Linked DNA regions of Caenorhabditis elegans. The protein of the gene in region 2 purifies or fractionates together with the protein of the main gene of each other region. This does not show direct contact. Each region holds a gene or a part of one and is shown on either strand. Other genes may lie near its edges. The genes, in order: C02F12.8, C09D4.2 and Y54F10BM.3.

The links.
Region 1: the proteins of C09D4.2 (region 2) and C02F12.8 fractionate together in Caenorhabditis elegans (co-fractionation; one large-scale study listed by BioGRID). This does not show direct contact.
Region 3: the proteins of C09D4.2 (region 2) and Y54F10BM.3 fractionate together in Caenorhabditis elegans (co-fractionation; one large-scale study listed by BioGRID). This does not show direct contact.

The regions. Positions count from the first base shown.
Region 1 is NC_003284.9:3,687,818-3,696,519, reverse strand, and holds C02F12.8 (uncharacterized protein), read left to right. Parts: upstream 1-3,281; 5' UTR 3,282-3,286; coding exon 3,287-3,388; intron 3,389-3,441; coding exon 3,442-3,693; intron 3,694-4,015; coding exon 4,016-4,525; intron 4,526-4,843; coding exon 4,844-5,313; intron 5,314-5,361; coding exon 5,362-5,669; intron 5,670-5,714; coding exon 5,715-5,974; intron 5,975-6,028; coding exon 6,029-6,190; 3' UTR 6,191-6,377; downstream 6,378-8,702. Other genes in the region: Putative protein tag-278, read left to right, coding at 7,376-7,399, 7,877-7,983, 8,060-8,379, 8,426-8,540, 8,587-8,702.
Region 2 is NC_003279.8:5,487,991-5,495,443, forward strand, and holds C09D4.2 (DUF4773 domain-containing protein), read left to right. Parts: upstream 1-3,433; 5' UTR 3,434-3,509; coding exon 3,510-3,777; intron 3,778-4,193; coding exon 4,194-4,298; intron 4,299-4,468; coding exon 4,469-4,573; intron 4,574-4,627; coding exon 4,628-4,717; intron 4,718-4,950; coding exon 4,951-5,033; intron 5,034-5,080; coding exon 5,081-5,194; 3' UTR 5,195-5,273; downstream 5,274-7,453. Other genes in the region: C09D4.9 (Protein AF-9), read right to left, coding at 1-14, 65-91, 139-168; C09D4.3 (Protein kinase domain-containing protein), read left to right, coding at 406-415, 591-652, 706-962, 1,266-1,380, 1,459-2,070, 2,207-2,363, 2,412-2,419.
Region 3 is NC_003281.10:2,278,981-2,287,144, reverse strand, and holds the start of Y54F10BM.3 (Tyrosine-protein phosphatase domain-containing protein), read right to left. Parts: upstream 5,121-8,164; 5' UTR 5,060-5,120; coding exon 4,987-5,059; intron 4,051-4,986; coding exon 3,999-4,050; intron 3,947-3,998; coding exon 3,872-3,946; intron 3,349-3,871; coding exon 3,054-3,348; intron 2,915-3,053; coding exon 2,761-2,914; intron 1,912-2,760; coding exon 1,713-1,911; intron 1,148-1,712; coding exon 882-1,147; intron 1-881. Other genes in the region: Y54F10BM.22 (Neuropeptide-Like Protein), read right to left, coding at 5,424-5,559, 6,061-6,224; Y54F10BM.23 (uncharacterized protein), read left to right, coding at 7,588-7,752; Y54F10BM.21 (uncharacterized protein), read right to left, coding at 7,922-8,036.

The DNA.
Region 1 (8,702 bases), on a different chromosome or scaffold from region 2:
GTTGAATTTGCTTTTATGAATGCTCTACTAATCCTCAAAACTATACTTTTTGTACAAATTCTGACTGATCAGAATTTTTATTTTGTCTTTTTTTGTGAAACTAATTCAAAGATTCTTCTTTCAAGCCAATGGATAACAAATATATAATAAATATAGATTATATCATCGAAAATTTTTCCTTTATTAATTTCCATTCTATCCAGTTTGCCGATGTGTTTCATGATCGAGACAGTTTTTTTTGTTCCTCAAGAATATTTCCACTTTTTTATTGATTTCACTTTCATTTCAATCGCTCTGGAAAACTTCCTTTTCTTCTTCTATTTGCATGTTCAGGCATATTTTTTATAAGATTTTCAAGCTTGCCTGGTTTTTTTCCTGTTTTCAATTAGAAATTTGTTAGTTTATTCTCGTGACAATCATAAATTCAACAGCACTTTATCGTGGAATTTTTTTTTGAACACAAAAGCGACAATAGTGGAAAGGGAAATAGATCGATGATTATCACATGAAAAGTGAATCGTTGAATCAGGCGTTTTCTCTCCATCCGTTTTTTTTTGAACTGGTACATACGTTTTCTGCTACCAAACAGAATTTTCAAGAAACTTACTACGTTTGTTGTTATGAAATACTTGTAAATCTACTCTTTGATTATTTTGCCCCGAACGCATAAAAAGGTTGCCATAGAAAGTACATTCTGACGTTCAAGCAGAACAAAAAGTTCAATGAATTCATAATTCAAATTAATCGCTCATTATGTCAAGAGTGTGAAGTATCAATTTTTAAAATAGCAGTAGATGTTAGTTTCTGGAAAAAAACTTGGTGTAGTTTTTGCTTCTAATCCGTATGAGACCTCTCGAAAAATTTTCGAAACTTGTTTTCTCGAGATTTGTTGCAAATTGATGTAAATTTTTAGCAATTTTCAAACTAAAAGGTGGAGTAGAGTCAAATAAATAAATAAAAATTCGCTTTATATGATAGAAAATGGATTGTAATGATCGAATATATCTGTAAAAAGTGTAGAAAATTTATTTAGATTTCTCATGATTTTTTTAAAATATTTTTCTATTTTCAAAAATCAAAGAATCGGCCGAATTAAATTTGACTTCCCATGCAAATGAGTGACGCTATTTTCGATATTTTTGCGTTGTCTGGCTAAATTCTTTCGGTTTTCTAGATTTTTTCTACTAAATTACTTTCAAAACTCTGTTCGCCATTTTTTTCAAATATTTTTCCCCAAAACAAAATCTTTGAAAAACTCCACTGTCGATTTTTGGGCAAAGTTTGAAATTTCCGCAAAAGTATTTTGTGTTATCAAATTTTCAATCAAATATAGAAGATATAGAAGAAAAAATATTAAAAAAAAAAACGGCGAAGAAAGCGAGAGAACGCGAAAGTATAAAAAATGACGTCACTCATTTGCGCAGAAATTTAAATTTAATTCGGCCGAAATCATAAAAAATTTAGAAAAAGTTTATAATTTTTTTACAGTCGTAATCTGTCCTTACAGCCCATTTTCTATCATTTAAAGCAATTATAAATATTAAAATTGTGATGCAATTTTTATTAAAATTTTTTGATCTACTCGCGCTGCACTAAAAATATCCATGACCTCCCTTCTGTTTTTTTTTACAATTATTCTTGCGAAATTGGGGGTGCGAGTTCTTTTATGATTTTAGTTTACCTTTTCTGTGAAATTTCTGCTACATTTTTACATTTTTTAGCACCTGTCGTACATTGAAAGCATTTGATAAGTTCCAGGATGATTGCTAGATTATATTTCCACATAGATTTCTGTTTTCTTCTCTACATTCTGAAACTTACTGCGAACATGCTAGTTTTTGTTTACATTTTACTATCACATATGTATAATAATTGGACCTATGACCGTCATTACCATTTTCCGTAACGGCCTTGCGCCCACCGTAACGCTCTGTTTCGTGCGCAATCACACGAGAATCCGTGAACATTTGTCATATGTTCATTGAGTTAAAAGAGTCCCATTGTTAGTCTAGAGCGTCAAAAATTAACTGCGCTAGTGCCTCTGGATGCCGTGTCGTCGTGTGAGCGCATGTGTGTGCGTGTTTGTGTGTTTGTGTTTTGTTGACGTGGGGGTGCAGTTGGCTATATGTGAGCGTGTGTGTGCGTGTGTGTGAGTGTTCTATGAGTGTGCGCGCGAACGAATGTAGGGGGGTTTTGTGTGCTGCGTGCGTGGCATCCGCCGAGGGGCCCTTTGCCCTGTCCAACGAGTCCTCTTCCTCACCATATTACCCACCCAGTTATTGTTGTGGGTGACGATAAACACTAAGCACCACCACCTGCGTGCGCGTCTTTTCACTTTCATTTGTTCACCTCAGTTTTCAACTTCGTTCCTCCTAATTTTTTTTCAATCAGATAATAGGTTAGAAATTAAAATTATGCACTGACCAAAATAGAAAAGCACTGACCAAAATAGAAAAGCACTGACCAAAATAGAAAAGCACTGACCAAAGTCGAAAAGCACTGACCAAATTAGTAATTGCACTGACCAAATCAGAATGCACTAACCAAATTAGAAATTCCACTGACAGAAATTGAGTCAGGTTTCCTTTTTTTTATCCTTGGGCAAAACTAAAACTTTTTTAGCTCTACTCATTGAATTTCCAACCAAAATTTTGCATGCCAACCGTGCAATTTATACATTGTGCTATTTTTTTCAATGGTACTCTTATATTCCCATTTTTCCACAATTGTAGTTACAAGCAAAAATTAAATCTATAGCTATGATATGAATCTAGCTATCTAGATACCTAGACATTATTTTTCGAGAGCCCCAACGCGATGCATGATTCTTTCAAAGTTTGAATTTCTCATAAAATTCTATGTTTTGAACTAACCATGTTACTTGGAATGCAATCTAGCTTCAAGAATTTGTTTTGATTTTTCCCAACAATTACTAGCAAAGGAAATTCAAAAATTATATAATTTTGTGTAAAATGCTCACAATGTTTTTTTGCGGTAACAAGAGTAGGTTAAAAACAAACAAATAGCTATAACATTTCTCTTTTTTATTTTAATTCAGCAAATCTTTTGATCTAGTTTTGAAATGTGACACCGCCAGCTTCTATTCGTTATAATTTTACTCATAAAATAAATAGTAAAACTGAATGTTGTAAGCACTAAATTATATGTTTTTTTTATTCGGTTTTTCCTACAATTTAAATTTTCAATTATTAACAGGCTCTCAATATTGCACCTATCAGTTGTTTTAAACTCTGACAAATTTTCATGTTAACTTTGTTCAGAAGCTATGCAAAACGATAGATCTCGCTGGAAAACCGAAGGACACTCGAGTGAAGTACATGAGGACTTTCTCAGGAATAGTGTTCAAAGAAGAAATCAATTGGAGAAGGTACATAATGTTTAGAGCGTTTGTATATTCTTATATATAATAATTTTTTACAGATTCTCTTTTCCTACAATAATCTTCATCGTCTGGATCCAAGTTACGGGGAAATCGTTCAAAGAGCTTTTGAATCAAATGATCCTATTGCGCTGTGGAATTTTGAGAATGAGGTTCTGTTGAACTCAAAAGACGTTGATGATCTCATGCAGCAACAGTTCGCCGCTCCCGTCCAAAATAATCAGTGCCCAAATCCTTATCAAAATTGCGGATATCAGAACAATTTGGTGAGCACGTTGGATGCTTCATTTAAGGTTTGTTTTTCAATTTGAAAAGTTTGTTCATGAGATATTGAGAATTTCCAATCTCAGGCAATTTGAAAGCTTATTTCGTTGATAATTTTTTGAAATGGGAATACTAGATTGCAATAAAAATTAAGCGAACGGCGAAACTAAAAGCTGACAATTAAACTTTTAATGATTTTAGAAACTCGTTGATTTAATGGAAAAAATCGGTTTTTTTTTCAATCGAGAGGAGTAAACAAGTTTTAATTTTTAGAAATGTAGTTTTTCACTGTTTAAAAACCCCAAGGCCATAAGAATTTCTTTAAAACTTTGAAACAATTGCAATTTTCAGGTACACCCATTTGCTCAACATGGTAATTACATGCCACCTCCGGCACAGTTTGCATCAAATCCAAACGTCTTTCCGCAACCTGTTCCTCCATACACTATGGATTTGGCAGCGTCGAATTCAGGATTTGCACACCCACAGATTGTAAACCAGCCTATGCATCCACACGTGCCTGTTGGTTCCCAGAATTACAATCCTCCCCAATTTGTGCCAGCTCCACCAACCATGATGCCAGTCGGAGCTGTAATGGTTTCGCAAGGATCGTATTCAATGTCACCACCTCAAATTGATACTTCAAAGCCACCTTCTGGATATGGATTCTCGTCTCCCATCTTTCCATCACCGTCTTACAGTCAATATTCTGGTCCACCTGCCAACGAAGGATTCCCAGACATTATTTATGATAACAATGGAGTTGCATATTGTCGAGTTGTCAGCGCACCTGTATGCGTCGTTTCCATGTCACAATCGGGATCATCAGTATGCTCATCACAATCGTTTTCTTCCGGACAGGTAATAAACAATATTATCGACTACAACAAAAACAACTTAACTGCTGCTTGGGTATGCCAGAATTTGAAAATTTGAACATGACCGCTTTTAGGGAAGTTATATGAAAAATTTAAAAGTTGGGAGATTAACTGGTTTGCATCTAAAACCATTTTAGTAACCCGCTTCTTGTCTGACCATGAATATCAGACACACTCCTAAATTTATGACAACTATCATTAAATGTTCCTGAAAGTGATAATGATCAAATGTTTAAACTTGAACACACTCACGCAGCACTTGACTAATTTATAATGCTATATTACAAAATGGTTTTTTCAGAGCGACATATCTATGTCCAGCAGACCGCCCATCAATGGATCTAGTGTTGGAAATGGTTCGTTATCACCCATGACTGATAGTGTCAGGGAAGAATCGGAAGACGAAGATTATGGAACGTTGACGCCTGTTGGTCAGCAAGATTGCGACTTGGATTCAGTAGACACGGAAAGTGTTGCAAATGAGCCAGAACCTTATAGCAGTACAATGTCTGAAATGCCACCATTAGATGATGTTGATGATATAATGGAGAACCTTGATCTTTCGAAAACACTGATTGAGCCGGAAACTTTGGAACACTCGGATAACATGAGCGTAGTTGAAATCAAATCTGAACCTGTATCTGAAATGACGACTGACTCGTTGATTGTTGATGATGACAGGGATACGTCAATATCTGAAATCATTAAGTATCTGGATACGTCGGATGACGTTTTGGAATCATGGCAGGAGGCGACGGGCAGGAAGAAATGGTGATTTTTTGATATTACTGCTAAAATGATAAATTCTGTAATTTTCAGTTTTGTACCACAGAAAACACAAAAACTCGTCTACCCGCTGCCATTGTCAAAAGTCGAAAAACCATTGCAAAAATGTCAGCAGACTTTGGCCGCTTCCACCATTGACGAGGATAGCAAAGAAGCATCAACTATTGCTCTACCCGACGCCAGGAAAAAGTTGACAAAAAAAGAAAAGCGCCTTATGGCTGCACAGAAGGCAAATCAATTGGAAACTGATGACGATGTACTGGAAGCAGCATATCGAGAAAGACAGAAGCATGTGGAGCAAGCTGGTGGTGACTACTCAAGCTCAGGACAGAAAGACCAAAGTGAGATTCATCATCGCCATTTGGTACTAATATTTTCAATTTCAGAAAAGAAGCGAGGAAAAAGACCCGTCTCGAATCCACCGCCATCGTTGATCAGTCCCCAAATCCTGCATGCAGTTCAAATGGCAATTGCTAACAGAGCAAAGAAGATTTCAGAATCGGGTCGTCCAATTTTTCACGAAAATTTCTCATATCAAAAATTCTATGAAACGGTGGATACTTTTGTGAAAACTTGGGAAGAAAATTCGAATGAAATGAACAAAGTGTTACAGTTTATTGAAAAACGCATTTTGGCATTCAAAATGGTGAGTTTTAATGAATTTTGGTACTTTTAAGTGTCTCAAACTGACTATTTACAGGTTCAACGTCCGCAAAGTCTCTCGCGTATTACAATCTACGAGCAACTTCAGCTGAACTTGCCGCCAGCTATTCTTCCGGAACTATGCTTTTTGGCCGGTCTCACCAGCGATTCTACTGACAAATTAGAGTATTACGAAGAAATTTTCTTCAACCTTTTCTAGATTCCGTTATTGTTTGTACACATTGTACCCAGTGATCAGATGTTTTAACTGTGATTAACCATGACCATTCAGTTGTATTTTTCAGTCCATTTAATTACGTGTCATTGTCTTCAATTTTAATTTATTGACTTTATGGGTAAATCAATTTATGTATTGAGATTTTTAGAATAAAAATGTCTAGTCTTGTATTTCTTCATCTTTTCAGAGGCTCTAACCAGTTTCAAACTTCTACCAATTTTAAATTCAAGTTTAGAAAGGGTTGAATAACTCAAGAGACGCGTTTTTGACTTCACAAACAAATTAGGCAAACTGGACAGACGGACATTATTATTTTGTTGATTATTTATTATTACCTCAAACATTTAATTCCCAAAATCAAAATCAAAATCAAAAAATCAAAAGAGATCGTGCTTAAGTGAAACTAGATGAAGAAGTTAAATATAGCTATTTTTGTCTACGAAATATTTTTGAAATTGAAACATTTTATCCAATCTGTATGTTTTGAAATTAGGCTGACGAAATCTTTTGAAAAAAAAAAACGCTATCGAAGAGGATACAACTTTTGCTCATTTTTTCCTTATGGCTTACAACAAATTGAAAAATTAAAGCAATAAATCTAAATTGATAGCCCCCTTAATCTATTTTTCAATCAATCCGTACACATTTCGGCAGCGTTATGCTCACCGTCATCACATTCATCGGGTCTTGTCAACGTATCCTATGTGCACTGCTGTGTGCGTACTCATTATCTGATATAGCAGTCTCGATGTTTCTCCCCCTCCCGGGTGAGTGGCACAACGTCCATTCGTATATCCACCGCCGGTGTTGAGTAGTATCATGTCGACTACAAGGCGCAACAGTTGGCTCTTCTATCCGGATCTCTTAGTCTCTTCTCTTGAACAGTTGCTCGTTCGGAAGTGTCCAGTCACTTCTACATCTCTCTTTCTGAATCACTCCTTGTCTATTATATCGAGAACCTCTAGGCTTCTATACCTTTTGTTTTACTGAATTTGTATTTTCTGATAAAGGAATCCCTAATTTATTTTTATATAACTGTTCTCTTATTTATTTTTTCGTTTACTTTTTCTAGTTCTAGACATAAAACTTAATTCAACTATTTTCAGCGCCACGTCATCACTTAACCACAGATAATCAGTCTAAAGAGGGCTGTCAAAGCCCTTTTCAATGTCAGAGCGCTTACGAGAAAGAGTGAGTAAATTCAATTTGATTAGGCTTTCAAACTAAGCCAATCTGTGTGCTTTAAAAATGCTACTGCATTGTAAGCCTAAAGGTTTGCCTTTATTTATATGCACAGCTATCCAAGTTTCGCTAAGAAAAATTCGAAATATTTCTCAAATTAAAAGTTATAGTTGTTCGAAGTTTTGGAGAAAAGGCGCAGTTTCAGCTGAAATTTTAATCTTTCTTAACTTGAAAATATGGTGCATAATTCGATGAATCAACGCGTAAAAATACAAAAATGTGGTACAAAAAGTCGTAATTATATAACAATAAGATTATGTCCGCTTCGATACCGATAAGTGTGTAAAACCTGAGAAAATAGGTATTTTTTCCAACAATTTTTTAGAATTTTTCAGAACGGATTTTTACTCAACCTTTAAGTCTAACTGATGGTTTCTCAGCAACATCAACTGTTTTTCTTGAACTTTTAGTAGTAACCTGTTTCAGCTTGGTATATTATCCGAAGAGTTTGATGGAAGTCTCCGATCCGCATCTCCATCAGGAAGTCGATCACCTAGAAGAATGAGCAGATCTCCAAGGCCCCATGGAACTCAGTGAGTTTCATTTTCCTTTTCGTTTGCGAAATGTGATACTTGATACCTCCTTACCCTTAACGTTTTCTTTTTCCAGTGAACCAGCCGTAGGTGTGACTCGACCTTTCGTAAGACAATCCCATCCTGAAATCGCTGCTTGGCCTGCACCTCCACCGGCGCATCAACTAGGTTGCCTCTCTGGAAATGTTCGAACACCAGTCGGAGGACCAGCTCCCCCGTCACCAGTTTTGCGGAGGGCACCAAGTGGCCCGATTTCACCATCTCCAATATCTCCAGTTAGCCAACATTCACGAGCAAGTTCTAGGCATGACATTGATAACACTTCATTGCTATCAATTTTGAAATTGTCACATGTTGCAAGAGAATCATCGAGAAATACTTCTAGAAATAATTCACGTACGTGTAAAATATTGAAAAGTTGGAAACAATTAAATTATTCTAGCTCAGCCAGCTGGACGAGAAACCGAATTGAAAAGGAAAATTCAAACACTGGAAGAAACTGTGGCAGAGTATGAAAGGCAAAAATACAACGTCATGGGCACATTCAGTGAATACAGGTTTGTAAAGTGCATACAATTTTGAAATAATGTTAGTTATTTTCAGAGAACGAGTTGCTGAAAGGGAGCGAAAGTTAGAAGCTGAGTACTCTGGTAAAATAATCGCCCTTTCTGAAGAAGTGCTAGGTGCCAAAAAGGACTTTGAAGCAAGAATGAAAAGTT
Region 2 (7,453 bases):
GCCGACGAAGATTTCTGAACAAAAATTGAGTTTTTTAGATATTTTTCTGAAACAAAACACATACAGAGACAGTTGGATTCGATGGTGTTTTCTGAAACAGAACAATAAAATGAACATTTCCAATATTAAAATTCTTACCGAAACTGTTCCACTCCACTTTTGTCCCATTATTTTCAGAAGAGAATCAATGCAAACAACAACGTCAAAAATTGTTTTCTCGGTAACGGAGAATGAATTCTAGAAGACTTAAAATAATAACATCTCACGTTTTTGTTTGTGACCCGCCCCCGTGTCACACTTGTTGGAATTTTTTTGGGCAGATGAACTTTGAAGATTAGGAAAAAAAATCAATACTGAATTTATCACACTCAGTTTTCGAAGGATTAAAGTTCTACTGTGATCATCATGGCGACTGGTAAGTCATTTTCAGCTGGAGATTTACGTTTTAGAAATCTCCTGGAATCTTCTAGAACTTTTGAGATGCGGATATTGGACTATTGTAAATATGAATTGTACTTTAAAGCATTCAAAATAGTCTATAGATTTACATTGGACATTTTCTAATCAATTCTTCAAATACTTATTTTCAGCGTTGGATCAAACCGACATGGTTCAAATTCCCAACACTCCAACATTGGTTGCCGAGGAAAATGTACGATCAAGCTTCCGATCTCTCTTCATCTTTAGAATATCAAATCATTTCAGTTGAACCACAAACGCTCTAAAGCAAATCTCGTGGTGGCTCAAGAGTCTGTCGCAATGGAGCACATCGCTGCTCATCAGCTTCCAGCTCCCGAGCCACGTCATCGTGGACCGGCGATTAAGGATAAGCCGGAGAGAAAGGATCGTCTTCCGACGGTTGGAGAATATTTTGAAAATGATAAAGGAGATCGTTTCATTTTGCGTCAGAAGCTGGGCGATGGTGCAATGGGACATGTTTTTCTGAGCATTTTTGGTGGCAGGTTTGTAGCTTATTTGGTTTTTTGCTCTTTCCAAATCGCGGCAACTTTAAAAGAAGTGCGTCACGCGAACTATTCCACGCAAAATTTATGTGGTTTTCTGAAAACTACCACATCGTACCATGGGTTCATAATGCCCTTTGAGGCATTATGCGTACATCTCAAATAAATGTCCTATTACTTTTCCAGAATTGTAGATCATTTTCTAGTTTACTCACTTCATTAAATTTCAGAACAAACCAATAATAAACTTTCTGAAAATTAGCTCCTCTGAATTGAATCTCTATGAAAAATGAACTATTTCAGAAGTGTTGCAATCAAAGCCGAAAAGTATTCAACAGGGATGCTTCCAATGGAAATTAAGGTTTTGTTGAGTATCAGACGCCACAATGGAGTTCATTTCTGTGATATCATTGATTATGTAAGTTATATCATAGACTATGAATTCATGGATTTTGGATTTTGGATTACAAAATCAAAAAAACGTATCAAACTTTAGGGAACCATCCGTCGTGAATACAACTACATGATAATCAGTATTCTTGGAAAAGATCTCTACCGTCTTCGTGCCGAACAACCGACTCGTTCATTCACTCTCAATACGACTACAAAGATTGCTCTTGAAACTATTGAAGCTATTGAAGAGCTTCACAATATTGGATACCTGAGCCGTGATGTCAAGCCAAGCAACTTTGCTCCAGGACAACGCGACAATGGACAGCATAAGACAATTTTCATGTTTGACTTTGGACTTGCGAAGAAGTTTATTGATCGTGATAACAAGAAGCTGAAGTCTCGTGGAGAGGTTGGATGGAGAGGTACTGTAAGATATGGAAGTCTCCAAGCACACAAACGTATGGATCTTGGAAGACGTGATGATGTTGAATGCTGGTTCTACATGCTCATTGAGATGTTGGTTGGAGAGTTGCCATGGCGTCATATGTCTGATCGTACACTTGTTGGACAATCGAAGCTCTCAATTCGAAATGAATCTCGTCGTTTGTTCTTCAATCGAACTCCAAGACAGTTTGAGACGATCATGGATATGATCGATGGATACTCATTCGAAATCAGACCAGAGTACAGACATTTGAAGGCATTGATTAATGAGGTAACTAAAATTAGTCTAGATGGATATTTTTAGTTAGATCCAAGCACTTTACTAATCACCTTTCTAATAAATTAGATAGTACCTAACGTTCCATATTCCTTACAATTAAACAATAATATGTTCTTTACTTTTCCAGATTCGTATGGAAAATATGATTCCTGATCGTTGCAAGTGGGACTGGCAAGTGGAAGAATCTCAACATTCGGAGCTCACCGAAACAGCTTCTGTCATGTCTGATATGGCAATTATGGCTGAACAAGGAGCTACTAACTACACTGATCGTGCCTGTGAGAGTATGTTTTATTGTTTTTATTTTCTATATCAAAATATACATTTTTCAGACCAATAGGCATATACTCGTCTCACAACTGTTCTTCATCACTACTCTTCTCATCAAATCTCGAATCGAATCGAGCACTTTCCAGTTCAATTTCCTCTTTCTCTCACTCTTTTCCAATCCAAAGTAAAGAACCGATTGCCTCTTTTTGTATTCATTATCATCATCGTCGTCGTTTGGTTTCAACTATACTACTAGATTTTTGTGCTGTGTAAATAAATGTATTTTTTTAAAAGTATTTTACATCTTATTGTAAGTTCCAACTATCACGGCGTTAGTTTCTTTCCCAAGTTTGGCAAATTGAATATTAACTTGGATTAGAAGTGGTTAAACCTGAGCCAAACTTTGGCAAAACATAGTCTCCTGGAATCTTCTAGAAGTGATATGTTGACGGAAAGTTGGATCAAACTTTGATTACACTTGAGTGAAGCGTGAACCAAGTTTTCCAACTTTCAATCTGAATTAATATTCTTTAAAATTGTGGTAGAGGAATCCGGCCTTGAAGGCAAGAATATAGCATGTCACTTTTCCAACTTTTTTCTTATTTTCTCAATTATTGAAATTTTAAAATGAAATTATAGTTATAGATGTAATTTGATATGCTTAATCCAATTATTATACTGATTTTTTGGTTAACAAGTTTGAAAATGTCTGGAAATCCCAGAATGAATGGATATCTCATAGCAGATTGGCACTGTACTCTTCTGAACAAATTGAATTTGTACCGAAGTTTCTTTTCTGATATTTTTTTTCGAGTAAAACAGGGGCAAAAATTAAGTTTTTCCAAACTTTTCAAGGATTTTAAAGCACTGCTGGATATTTCGATTGCGTGGATCTTAATAATTTTACAACATGTCGTACTCCACCTTTCAGCATTGGAAACCTATTTATTCAAGGAAATTAATAAACAAATTATTGTAATTTATGTTTACCGCATCAATCTTTACCATCGATTCAAGCTCATCATTCTAGCCAGTTGTCAAAAAAAACATATCCGCAGATGTTATCTTTGATTTATTTATTGGGAGAACATCTGGTTGTGTAACAGAGTCAACTGACCTTCTCCCTTTTCATTCGTCCAAATCTTCATTTCTTTTCCAAAATGCACCTCTTTCTTTCTGTTTTTCTTCTGCTTATCCTACCGTTAATTTCCACCTCAGCAGTTGAGAATAATCAAAATATTGTGGATTTTTCTGTGAAAGATTTCAACAAAAATATTAATTCAATCGATATTCTCAACAAAAAATGGGATATTGTTTCGAAATATGTGAAATTTAATGGAAACTCATCGAAATTGAATGGAAGACTCCGATTATCGGAAAAAATTGACAAAATCATTTTTAAATTGGGAGACGATGGAGCTAATCAGAGTAAGTTTTTTGAAATTTAAAAGTGGATTAGCGCCCTATGGTATGACTCCTATGATTCTAAAATGATAAATTTTCACAGTAAAACTTTGCGAAACTGGTTTGATATTTTTAATAACATTTAAAAATGGTATTGATTCAGTTCTCAACTGTTATAATTTTGGAATATTCGAATGTTCCAAAAAATTTATCTGAAAAAGTTCTGAAATCAAAAAAAAATTCTTCTACCAAATAGGCAAAATGTTTTCTACGACTTTTATATTTTAATCAAGTTAAGAAATATTTTTTGTTAAGAAAAATAGTGCAAGAACGTTCAAAATTTCCGAAAAAAAAACCGAGTTTATCGAAAATTTGGCAATTTGCCAAACTCTTACTGACTAGCAGCAATCCTCTTGTTTTCTAAAAATTTTAATTTTCAGATGAAATAATAGTTTCCTTGGGTAATAGAAATACAACTCATATGACTGTGCACACGGATTCATACAAAATGAAAGTATCCACTTCGAAGCAAGTTGTTCGGAAAGGTCTGTTGAAAAGGTTTTGAAAATTGTATTCTGTTTTACGTTGTTAACAAAGACAATTGCTCAAGCAGCCTCAAGCCAGCAAGCCAAAACAAAACTTTAAAAAACTGAAATTCGGAATGAGAAAAAAAAAATACATAAAGGCTAATTAAAATTGTAATAAACCTTTCCAGAACTGTCTCTGAGAACTGGTTCATCAAACGAGAACGGATGTGCTTGTGTACACGGAAATTGTGCTTGCTGCCTAGAAATTTCTGTTCCAGAATTCAGACATTCAGGTAATAGTTTTCCTTAAATTTTGTTTTCTTAATTTTCCAATACTTTTAATTCAGTTTGTGTCAATGCAACCTATAACCCAGTTTCCATTGGCTTGGATTTGTCGATTGGAGTTGATGGACATTATTTCAGTGAAGAAATATCTTGTATGTAAAGAACTTTAAGATGGAATACGCGGTCAAATGGGTTCCATATGAATATGTTTAAATAATTCTCAAATTCAGATATCCCACAAAAGGAATTCAGAAAAAGCGAGTTGAAACTACTAATCCAACTTTCAAACTCGCGAATTTCTAACTCTGCTAATTTTTTGCTATTTAAATATAAATTTCACAGAACTTTTGTTTCACATAAAAAAACAATTGTTAATAATTTTCAGTGAGAAACCCCCCACCAGTCTGTTTTTCTCTTCCGATTCCCGGCGCAGAGCACATTGCAGGAGTATGTGTGGCATTCACAAAGGTAAAATTGTTTCTGGTAACACGAAAATTCCAATTTTATTTATTCAGTTGGACTTGGACAAGAAGGAGAAAATTCTTTCCGGATGCATGGATTTCGAAGTGGAATTAATTCATTTAAGAGTTCTTACTTTCAAGCTTGGATGTTTTAGAATGCCAATCTGAAATTAAACAAATATGTTATGTTGTAACAGTTTGGTGCAAACTGTTATGTCAAATCAAACAGAAAAAGTTATGTTTTTTGGTTTTGCTCTTTGCTTGATTTTCAGAGACGAAGCTTCTCGTTCGTCTGCATTCGCTTATTTCATCGCCCATCTACACTCCCAATAGTGGTTTTTCATTTCTTCTACTGGAGATGATTCTGATAGACTTTATTTTGAGATGATCAAGTTTTGGGTGACAATGTACTCAACGGGAACAATATATCCAGAGTGACACAGGATTCAGTAGATAAACTGGGGTGATATTATTTTATTTGCCACGTTTGCGACGGATATTGACAAGATGAAAAATGTGTGAAATTTTTTTAAAACTTTTATTTTAAAAAAAGACTGTAGCAAAAGGGATATTGAGGAAATTGAGACCTTGAAGAGGATGTATGATCACATGTCGGTACTTGTAAAGCATGGTGACGACTGTCCAGAATCTGATGGGAAGGTTTGTGTGAATTGGATTTTCATAGTTAAAAACAACATTTCATATCTTTTCCGATGCTTTCAAAGCAGTTCTATCGGCAACAAAGATTGACGATCTCTATCCAAACTGCATGTATGACTCCATCCTCTGGAAATTATTCGCTGGGAAGTTAGCTTGTTCGCTGTTGGGTTGTGCTGAGGATTTGCGTGTCATCATTGGTCATCAGGATTTATGAAAACTATTGTATTTTATTGTAAAATTATTTTCTTTTTCTTCGATAAATATTAATTTTCAATCATTGTTTGTTTTCATATTACTTAGACGCGGAATTCTGAAATTTTTGCCTCAAAAAAAAAGATACCCGGTCTCGACACAACAATTTCCTGTAAAATACAAACGGATCTGAGCCTCTGAAGTTGATTTTTTTCTTCTTTTTTTTTGCCACCTAGCGAAACTTAATTGAAGCATATACTAATATATGAGTCATAACTTACTACAGGGTGACAATTAATTATAGCAACACAGTTCTCTTTTGTACAGACTACGGTAGTTAGATGTGTTCTGTGCCCTGTCGTAAAGAAATGTTCTTGTTCCACTCCTCCATAACCCTTGTGATTTGCTCTTTGCAATCAATCTTATTCCACTTTCATTGATGATATCTATTTTCTCTCTTTTGATATTTTCTTGCCAATCTTTTTGTCCATGAGATTTCTTTTTTCATTCATTCAAAAAATAATTTGAACAGCTGTCTCAAAGGTCCGTTTTCTTCCCCAAATGTTGTTTCAATATCACACCTCAAAGAGGCCAATTAAAATTTGTTGCTCTCATTCTCTTTCCGAATTTTCCCCTCTCATCTCGCAGTTTTTTGTTATTTTGTGGTTTTTTTTCGGTAGATTCATTTAGCTTTCTTTTACTGCAATTGTGAAAATAAAGGAACCAAGTTACAACTTCATCTATTTTGAGTTAGGTATCTAAGTGCGCCTGAAATGGCGCCAAGAAGATAAGAATCTTTTTTTGTGTAGAAAAACAGTGTTTGCAGTGGGTAAACCTATCAAAATCAGAAAATAATCAATTTTATCGAGCTTATTACGGAAATTTCTACAGTAATTATAGCACCCAACCAAGTTATCATAAAAAGTGGTAGAAATGAGGCATTCTAACGAACTTTTCGCAGAAGAAGAACAAAATATTTACGAACAGGAAGTTACAAAAGACTTTTGATACCTGTAGCTACGCTGAAATTTTTGTTTTGGCTGCAAGGTTTTCGTCCGAAACTGCGGAATTGCATATTCAACAAAAACTAACTAAAACGGGGTTTTTTTAATATTTTTCTTTTATATGTAACGTCAATAATCTTCTTCAAATTTCGCTCCAAAAACTTTACTTAAAAGTTTTTCGTATTCGATAAAATTACTGGAAGCCGGGATTTTGAATTTCAGAAAATCTGGCACGTGGAAAAAAAATACTTGGAAAATGGTTTTCAAAAAGTCGGAAAATAATCAGAATTTGTAGAATGAAAAAGTGTTAGTGAAGGCTCGGAATATATTATGCTAGATTTCCTCATTATGTTCCATACCTTTGAAATAGAATCTCATAAAAAATCCACGTGACAAATGCGAGAGAAGGTATCAAATTCCACGAGGTGTTCATTCTCCTTTCCTTCCGGTTTCATGTTTTATGACTCATTTTATGACACCCACACTATGTGGATTTCATGACGACACGAAACTTTGCAATTTGATATTTTTGTCTACTTCTAGACTTTTTTCTTCCCAAGACTAAAAATCA
Region 3 (8,164 bases), on a different chromosome or scaffold from region 2:
AAACATGTAATATCGTGAAAAACAAAAAATTTTGCTATCTTCTGGGATCGAACCCCGGACCTATTTCACACCAGTCATCCATGCTACCGACTGAGCCAAAAGAGTAATTTTAAAACTTTCCAAAAAAAAAAAGGATTCCGATGTGAAATTTTATGGAAAACACGAAAATGTACATCAAATCAAGTAAAAAATTGTTTTAAGTTGTGAAAATCAACTTTTTATCGAAAAATTGTGAAAAAACTAGAAATTTCAGCAAAAAAACATTTCCCAGACGAGCCAATGACCCCAAAGCATAGAATACTTGCAATATCGTAAAAACAAAAATTTTGTCATTTGCGGGGATCGAACCTCGGACCTATTTCACGCCAGTCATCCATGCTACCGACTGAGCCAAAGGTGAAATTTCCAAATTTCAAAAAAAAAAGTTTCCAGTGTGAAATTTCATGGAGATTCCGAAAATGTATACCAAATCGTGTAAAAAATTGTTTTAAGTTGTGAAAATCAATTTTTTATCAAAAAATTGTTTTAAAAAACTAGAAATTTCAGCAAAAATACTTGTTCCCGATAAGCCAATGACTCCAAAACCTAGTAAACGTGTAATATCGTTAAAACAAAATTGACCTCTACGGGGATCAAACCTTCGGCCTATTTTCTACCAACCACACCTGTTACCGGCTGAGCCAATCATTTTTCGAAAAAAAGTCGAGTTCTCAGTTTCAAACTCTTATAACTTCGTCAGTTTGAAAGCTATCAAAAAGTTTTCAACTAACAAAATGTGTAAAATTATACGGGCTACAATTTTACAGTTAACAACTTTTTTATAGCTCTTCTAGTTTTTGAGTTAAGAAAGATCTAAGAAAATAGGGTTTTTCAAGTCTAACCTGGAAAATATCTTCCACACTTCTGAACTCCATTCTCCATAATCTGACAGCACATCACCACATAAGTAGCTCTCGTGTCCCAAACCATTCGCCAAAAAGATTCCCGTGTATCCGGATGTCCTTTCTCCTTATCGTCAAACGGCGCCTGACAAATGATCGCTTTTCCAATATACTCTTTTCCAGGGGCTGTTACGGTTGAGGCATGGATGAAATGGGTGTCATCAACTAAGTACGATGTTGAATCCCATGCTTGAACTTTTGGGTCTCTGGAAAAAAAAACGTTGAAAAATTTGAAAAATAATAAAAAAATTTGCAGAATTTTTTTTTCAACTTTTTGAAGAGTTTTTTGGTTTCTACTAATTTGTGCAATAATTTAAGTTTATCACGTCATACCCTTTCAAATGACCCCCCCCCAAAAACTGGCTTTGACGCACAAAAAATGTATAAATTTCAAAAAAAAAAAAATGTAGAATTTTTCTTATTTTGGAAGTTTAATAAAATTGGTCTCAAAAAATTAAAATATTAAAAAAAAAGTTTTTTAAATTTTTTTTAGAACTTCAAAATTTTCAGAAAGTATCTGTTTTCTTTAAATTTTATCTAAAAACTTGAATTTAGCACGTTGAGACCTTCAAAATGACCCCCATCATGCCTAACTTCCGCCCATTTTGGGTCTCACCACGAAAACTACAGTACCCCAGGTTGGGTTTCGTGGCGGGACCCAAAGCGGTCGCATGATGGGTGTCATTTGAAAGCTAATGAGCAGCTGAATCTAATTTTCGAATTAAAAACTCTAAATTCCTCAGCCGAAAAAAAATTTTGCCGAAAAATCACCTGCAAAGCTTGGGGTTTCCTGCGCTCATCGCTGTCAGCTCAATCGGAATTTCAAATTCTGGCTGACACCATTCGAACCAATTTGCGATTACAGTTTTCGACGGATCGCGTTCTTTTCCCGGTATGATAGAGCACATCGACGGGCTATAGCTCATTTTGGTGAACAGCTTTTTGAATTCTTTACGTGTGATGTTGAGAGCTGAAATTTGTGTAGGTTACTGTAGGTTACTGTAATTGGAATTTTGAATTTGAATGAAAATTGGACTGTTTGGCTTGAAAGTAGAAAAAAAAACAAAATTTCAAAATTTCCAAAAAAAATTAATTTCGAAAAAAAAATTTTTTTTCAAAATTTTTGTTTCAAAAACTTTTAAAATTTTCTACGAAACCGATTTGAACGTTTCAGATTAAAAATTGCAAATTCTTGGGTCCCACCACGAAAACCAGAGTACTCCCGGCGGCATTTTCGTGGCGGGACCCAAAATGTGCGGAACCTAGTCATGATGGGTTTTATTTTAAAGGTCTCAATGTGATTATTTTGAATTTGTTAATTATTTCTCAGTTGGTGCAAAAAAAGTCTAAAAATTTAGAAAAAAATTAAAAAAAAAAAAATTTTTTTTTGAGATTTTTGGAAAACATAAAAAATTTTTACAATTTTTTGCTCATTTTTTAATTCAGCGTGTCAAGACTTTCCATTTAACACCCATATTGACTAAGCTCCGTCCACTTTGAAAACTTGGGGACCCAAAACAGGCGAAACCTAGTCATGATGGGTGTTATTTGAAAGCTCTAGGCGTGCTAAATCTGAAAATTCACGCCAAATCGGTTTTGAATTGAAAGTTAGCTCGAGCTTTCAAGAAAATAAAAATTTAAAAAAAAATTTCAAATTTTCAAATTTTATTTTCAAAACTACATAACTCTGCGAATTTTAAAGATATTCGATTGAATATAGTCTTAAAATGAGCGCAATCTTTTTGTGAGTTTAATGTTTAATTTAATAACTTGCAATGTTTAAAGTAAAATTTCTTAAAACCTGATTTTAAAACCATACCTGACTTGCCGTGCCATCCATCTTCCAGCTGATAATCCTGCTCATCCAATGCATTTTCCGTCTTTGGGTCCGAATCTTTATCAATATCAGGGCCCGTTTGTCTTTCCACCCACACTTCATTTTCTCGAAGCTCATTTTGTGGCTTTTTGAATTTCTGAAAAAACAAATTTTTTTACAAAAAAAATTTTCAAAAAAAAATTTTTTTTTCGAAAACCCATAACTTTGTTCATTTTCAAGATTTTTCCTTGATTTTTGACACGTAAATTTTCAAATTTTTTCGGAAAAATCTCTACCTCTTTATTTTTCACGATCACATCCTCCATCGGCAGCAGCTCGACTCCACCCCGTTTCAGCGTCACCTCCTTTACATGTTTCAGCCATTTGGCTGATTCTCTCGGTCTTTTTGCAGGATCCACACCTCCAGCGTTTCGATTTTTCGAAGCCGAAACTTCAGAAACTCGTGCCAGACGCCTTTCCCAAGCCTTTTCCCTTGCCATTTTCTCGTCGCGCCATTGTTGAACTTTCCAGTAGCAATATGCTCCAAATGCTCCAACAAACGCAGATTCCAGGAAAAGTACAACAAGCCAGCTGAAAAATTACAGAAAATTTGCGAAATTATCGATTTTCTTTCGAAATTATCGATTTTTTTCGCGAAATTATCGACTTTTTCGTGAAATTATTGATTTTTTCGCAAGAAAATCGATAATTTCGCGAAATTATCGATTTTTTTCGCGAAATTATCGATTTTCTTGCAAAATTATCGATTTTCTTGCAAAATTATCGATTTTCTTGCGAAATTATCGATTTTCTTGCGAAATTATCGATTTTCTTGCGAAATTATCGATTTTTTCGCGAAATTATCGATTTTCTTGCGAAATTATTGATTTTCTTGCGAAATTATCGATTTTTTTGCGAAATTACTGATTTTCGATAAAAGAAATGACGCAAGTTATCGATTTTTTGAACAAAAAATCAATAAAAATTATTGATTTTTCTTCAAAAATCCGACCAAAAAAATCAATAAAATCAACATAGATTATCGATTTTTCGAAAAAAAAAAACCAATTTTTCGCCGCCGAGCAATTATCGATGTCAAATTTTCACAACTTACACTTCGATTGGAATTAGGTCGAGAATGTCGGTCAGCGAATTAAACTGTTCAGCAGGTGGTGGTTTGGTTGAGGATCTGAAAAAGAGCGGTCATCGGGATAAACTAACGGGACAACGGATAGACTTACACTGGTGGAGTTGTTGAGGTCGGCGGGGCGGGTGTAGGCCAATCGACGAAACCTGGAAAAAATCAATAAATTTTTGTTGAAAAATCGATAATTTCGCGAATAATCGATAAATTATCAAAAATCGATAATTTCGCAATCGCAATGGCCACGTGGCTTTTTTTTACCGTCCTCTCCACGTCATTTTCAAAAAGAAATAAATAACAAACTCCACGTGTTCATCGAAAATATCAAAAATCGATAATTTCGCGAAAAAATCGATAATTTATCGAAAATCAGTAATTACGCAAAAAATCGATAATTTTTTAAAAATCGATAATTTTTTAAAAATCGATAATTTTTTAAAAATCGATAATTTTTTAAAAATCGATAATTTCCTGGAAAATCAATAATTTCGGGAAAAAAATCGATAATTTCGCGAAAAAATCGATAATTTCGCAAGAAAATCTGCCTCTTCCTATATTAAATCCTGAAATTGCATTCTTGACAGAAATAAAAAATAAGGGCAACTTTTCGACACGTGAGAAAATCGATAATTTCGCAAGAAAATCAATAATTTCGCGAAAAATCGATAATTTGGCAAGAAAATCAATAATTTCGCCAAAAATCGATAATTTCGCAAGAAAATCGATATTTTCGCAAGAAAATCGATAATTTCGCCAGAAAATCAATAATTCCGCGAAAAATCGATAATTTCGCGAAAAAATCGATAATTTCCCGAAAATCAATATTTCGCGAAAAAATCAATATTTCGCGAAAAATCGGTAATTTCGCCAGAAAATCGATAATTTCCCGAAAATCAATATTTCCCGAAAAAATCGATAATTTCGCGAAAAAATCGATAATTTCGCAAGAAAATCGATAATTTAGCAAGAAAATCGATATTTCCGCCAGAAAATCGATAATTTCTCAAGAAAATCGATAATTTCCCGAAAAATCCGATAATTTTGTAGAATCGAACCGTATCTTGGCGTCAAACCCCCGTACTTACTTAGCTCATATGGTTCCACGTGGCAGATGCCAAAAATCGATATGGTCACCAATAAAATCGACCACAATTTCATCTTGAATATTGTGAAATAAATTTTTCAATATCGATTTATCGACTTTCGAAAATCAAACGACGTGGTTCCCGACGTGGAATGTTTTTTGGCAATTTTTGAGTTTTTACGTTTTTATTCAATTTTTTAAAAATTTTGTAACTTTTTTAGTTTTTGAGATATTTTGTTCATTTTTGGCTTAAAATGTGCGAAAACTACCCACGTAAAAGATAAAATAAAAATTTTAGAAATTCCGGTAAAAACTACAGTACCCCACAACTTTTCGTGACGAGACCCAAAAAAAAATCAAAAAAAATCAGAAAATCACAAAAATTTATTGTGCGTCGTAGAAAAAAATCATGTCATTTCATAAATCAATAATATCGATTTATTTGTCGTTTGGCGGAGCCGCAAAGCAGTTTGGCGGGAACAGTGAAAACGAGTGGAATGCACTGCAAATCGAGTCTCGCCACGTGGATTCGTGGTGCTCCGCTTTGAAAAATTGCTGAATTCTGTGGATTCTTCTGGAAAAAATTAAAATTTTTGGTTTTAGAAGTTATTTTTGGATTCAGCGTGATTGATTACCCTTATCTATAGGTTTTCAGAGCTCTAGCTCAAAATCTCAAAATTTTGAAATTTGGCTGAGTAGCGACTCAGAACTGCGATACGGAGTCATAGTTTTGAAAAACTAACATTATCATTAAATTTGCCATACTTGGAAACCCAGAATCCTAAATTTTTAGCCATTTGCACTAAAACTGACCAAACTCCGTATCGCAATGGGTCGCTACTCAGCCAATTCTTGAAAATTGAGCTAGAAGGCCCAAAATTTTGGGATAGGGGTAATCAATGACGCTGAATTCAATAAAATTAAAGAAAACATTTAAAACTTGAGATTTCGACCAAAAAAATCGATAATTTGGCGGAATTATTATTTTTAAACAAGTTTTTTTCAAAAAAATTTTTTTTTTAATTTTTCCAAAATTTCAAAAACCTTTCTATTAGCAAAAAATCAATGAACTTACTCAATTTTTGTCTCATTTTTCCTCAAAACTTGATAATCCTCAGCACTCAGGTCATCCGAGTGTACAGAGTTCAACGATGCACCATAATTGATAGGTAGAGTCAGAATTTCAGAAATTTGAATAAAAAATATCAAAAATAATAAGGTTACTGTAGTTTTTCGCATGTTTTTTTGAACTTTTACATAGAGAAAGTGTAAAAAGTTTTTAGGGAAAAACTTGAAAAATCAAGTTTTTAAATACTTTTCTCACAGTCAGCGGGGGGTGGAATTCGTCATAAGACATGATGACGTCATAGGATCAATTTTGATATCTTTTATCAGTTTTTATCAGTTGCTACACGTGAGAAACAATGAAAAATTCCATTGTTTTGATGTTTGGCAAATCTGAATTCGCTGAATTCTTAGTGTACCTGAAAAGGGGTAGAGGGATACATTTTGCACCTAAGCAATGGGTGCAGATTTTTTAAAATCAATTTTAATATAGCGAAAAACTTCAACAAAATCAGTAAAATTAATTTAAGTTTGAAAAAAAAAATTTTGAAAATTTTTTTCCAATTTTTCAAAAAAAAAAACAAAAATTTTTTGGGTCTCTACACGGAAAGTTATGGGGTACTGTAGTTTTACGGGTTCTTGTAAATTCCTATGTTATATTTTATGGAAAAATATTGAGGGTACTATTTAAAACTAATCTAGGCTCAGAATCTTGAAAATTGGCAAAGTTATGGAGTTTTGAAAAAATTGAAAAAAAAATTTTTTCAAAATTTTTTGGGTCCCGCCTTAAAAAGTCTTTTGGTACTGTAGTTTTATGAGTTGCTATGAATTACTGTACTAGATTTTAAAGAAAATCATTTAGAGCGCTATTCAAAATAAATTTGAGCTCAAAATCTTAAAAATTGACAAAGTTATGGAGTTTTGAAAAAAAATCAAAAAAAAATTTTTGTTAAATTTTTGGATCCCGCCACGAAAAGTGTTGTGGTACTGTAGTTTTATAAATTGTTTTAAATTTTATTGTCAGATTTCATAGAAAAATATTTAGAGCTTTAATAAAAATAAATTTGAGTCAAAAATCTTGAAAATTGACAAAGTTATAAAGTTTTGAAAAACAAATATTTTTTCGAAAAAATTTTTGGGTCTTCTCACGAAAAGCATTGGGGTACTGTAGTTTTACGGGTTTTTGTTAACTACAATATTACATTGTATAGGAAAACATTTTGGGCACTATTCAAAACAAATTTGAGCCAAAAATCTTGAGAATTGACAAAGTTATAAAATTTTTAAAAAAGTTCCAAAAATTTTTTTTCCAAATTTTTCAAAAAAAAATTTTTTTACGTTTCCGGATTTACTTTTTTGTAGTTTATGTCCCAAAATGTGTACTTAAATTGAATTTTGATCAATTTATTTTCGTCTTTTCCACCTCCCATTTTCAGCAAACTGGCTACTGAAAACCGGTTTTTTTGGCTTGAAATTGTTGACATCTCACCAGTATATAAAAATTCAACTCGGCAAGTAGAAAAAAATTTAAAAAAAAATGATTTTTTCCCTACTTTTCAAGATTTTTGCTATATTTTCTATAATATGCTCTACTGTAATAGGAATTCCACCTCCTCCTCCACGCCCACCTCATCAGATTTTTGGAGGCATTTGGAGCCCCGAAGAAGGACCATTTGGAGCTATCAAGGACTCTTTGAAATAATTTAAAAATTCATTTTATTGATTTTTTGTTTAATTTTTTTTTCTTCAAAAATCTTGTTTTGAATTTGTTTATAAAGTATTGAATTTCAATCCAATAAAAAAATCACAAAAAAAAATACAGGAATTTTCGTGGCGGGACCCAAAATTATCAAAAAATATCAAGTTTTTATTTACACCCAGATCAATGAAAACAATAATAACATTGAAAATAAATTACTTGAAGGTATTGAATTATTGATTAATATTTCCTCACAGTTTGTTGAATTAATAGCATTGTCAGCGCATCTGGAAAAAAATAGGAAAAATGAGGGTCCTGTCACGAAAACTCATGGGGTACTGTAGTTATTGAACTTTTCTGAAAAATAAAAAATTCATTCTAATGAACCCTATTTTAGTCACATTTGAGTAAAAAA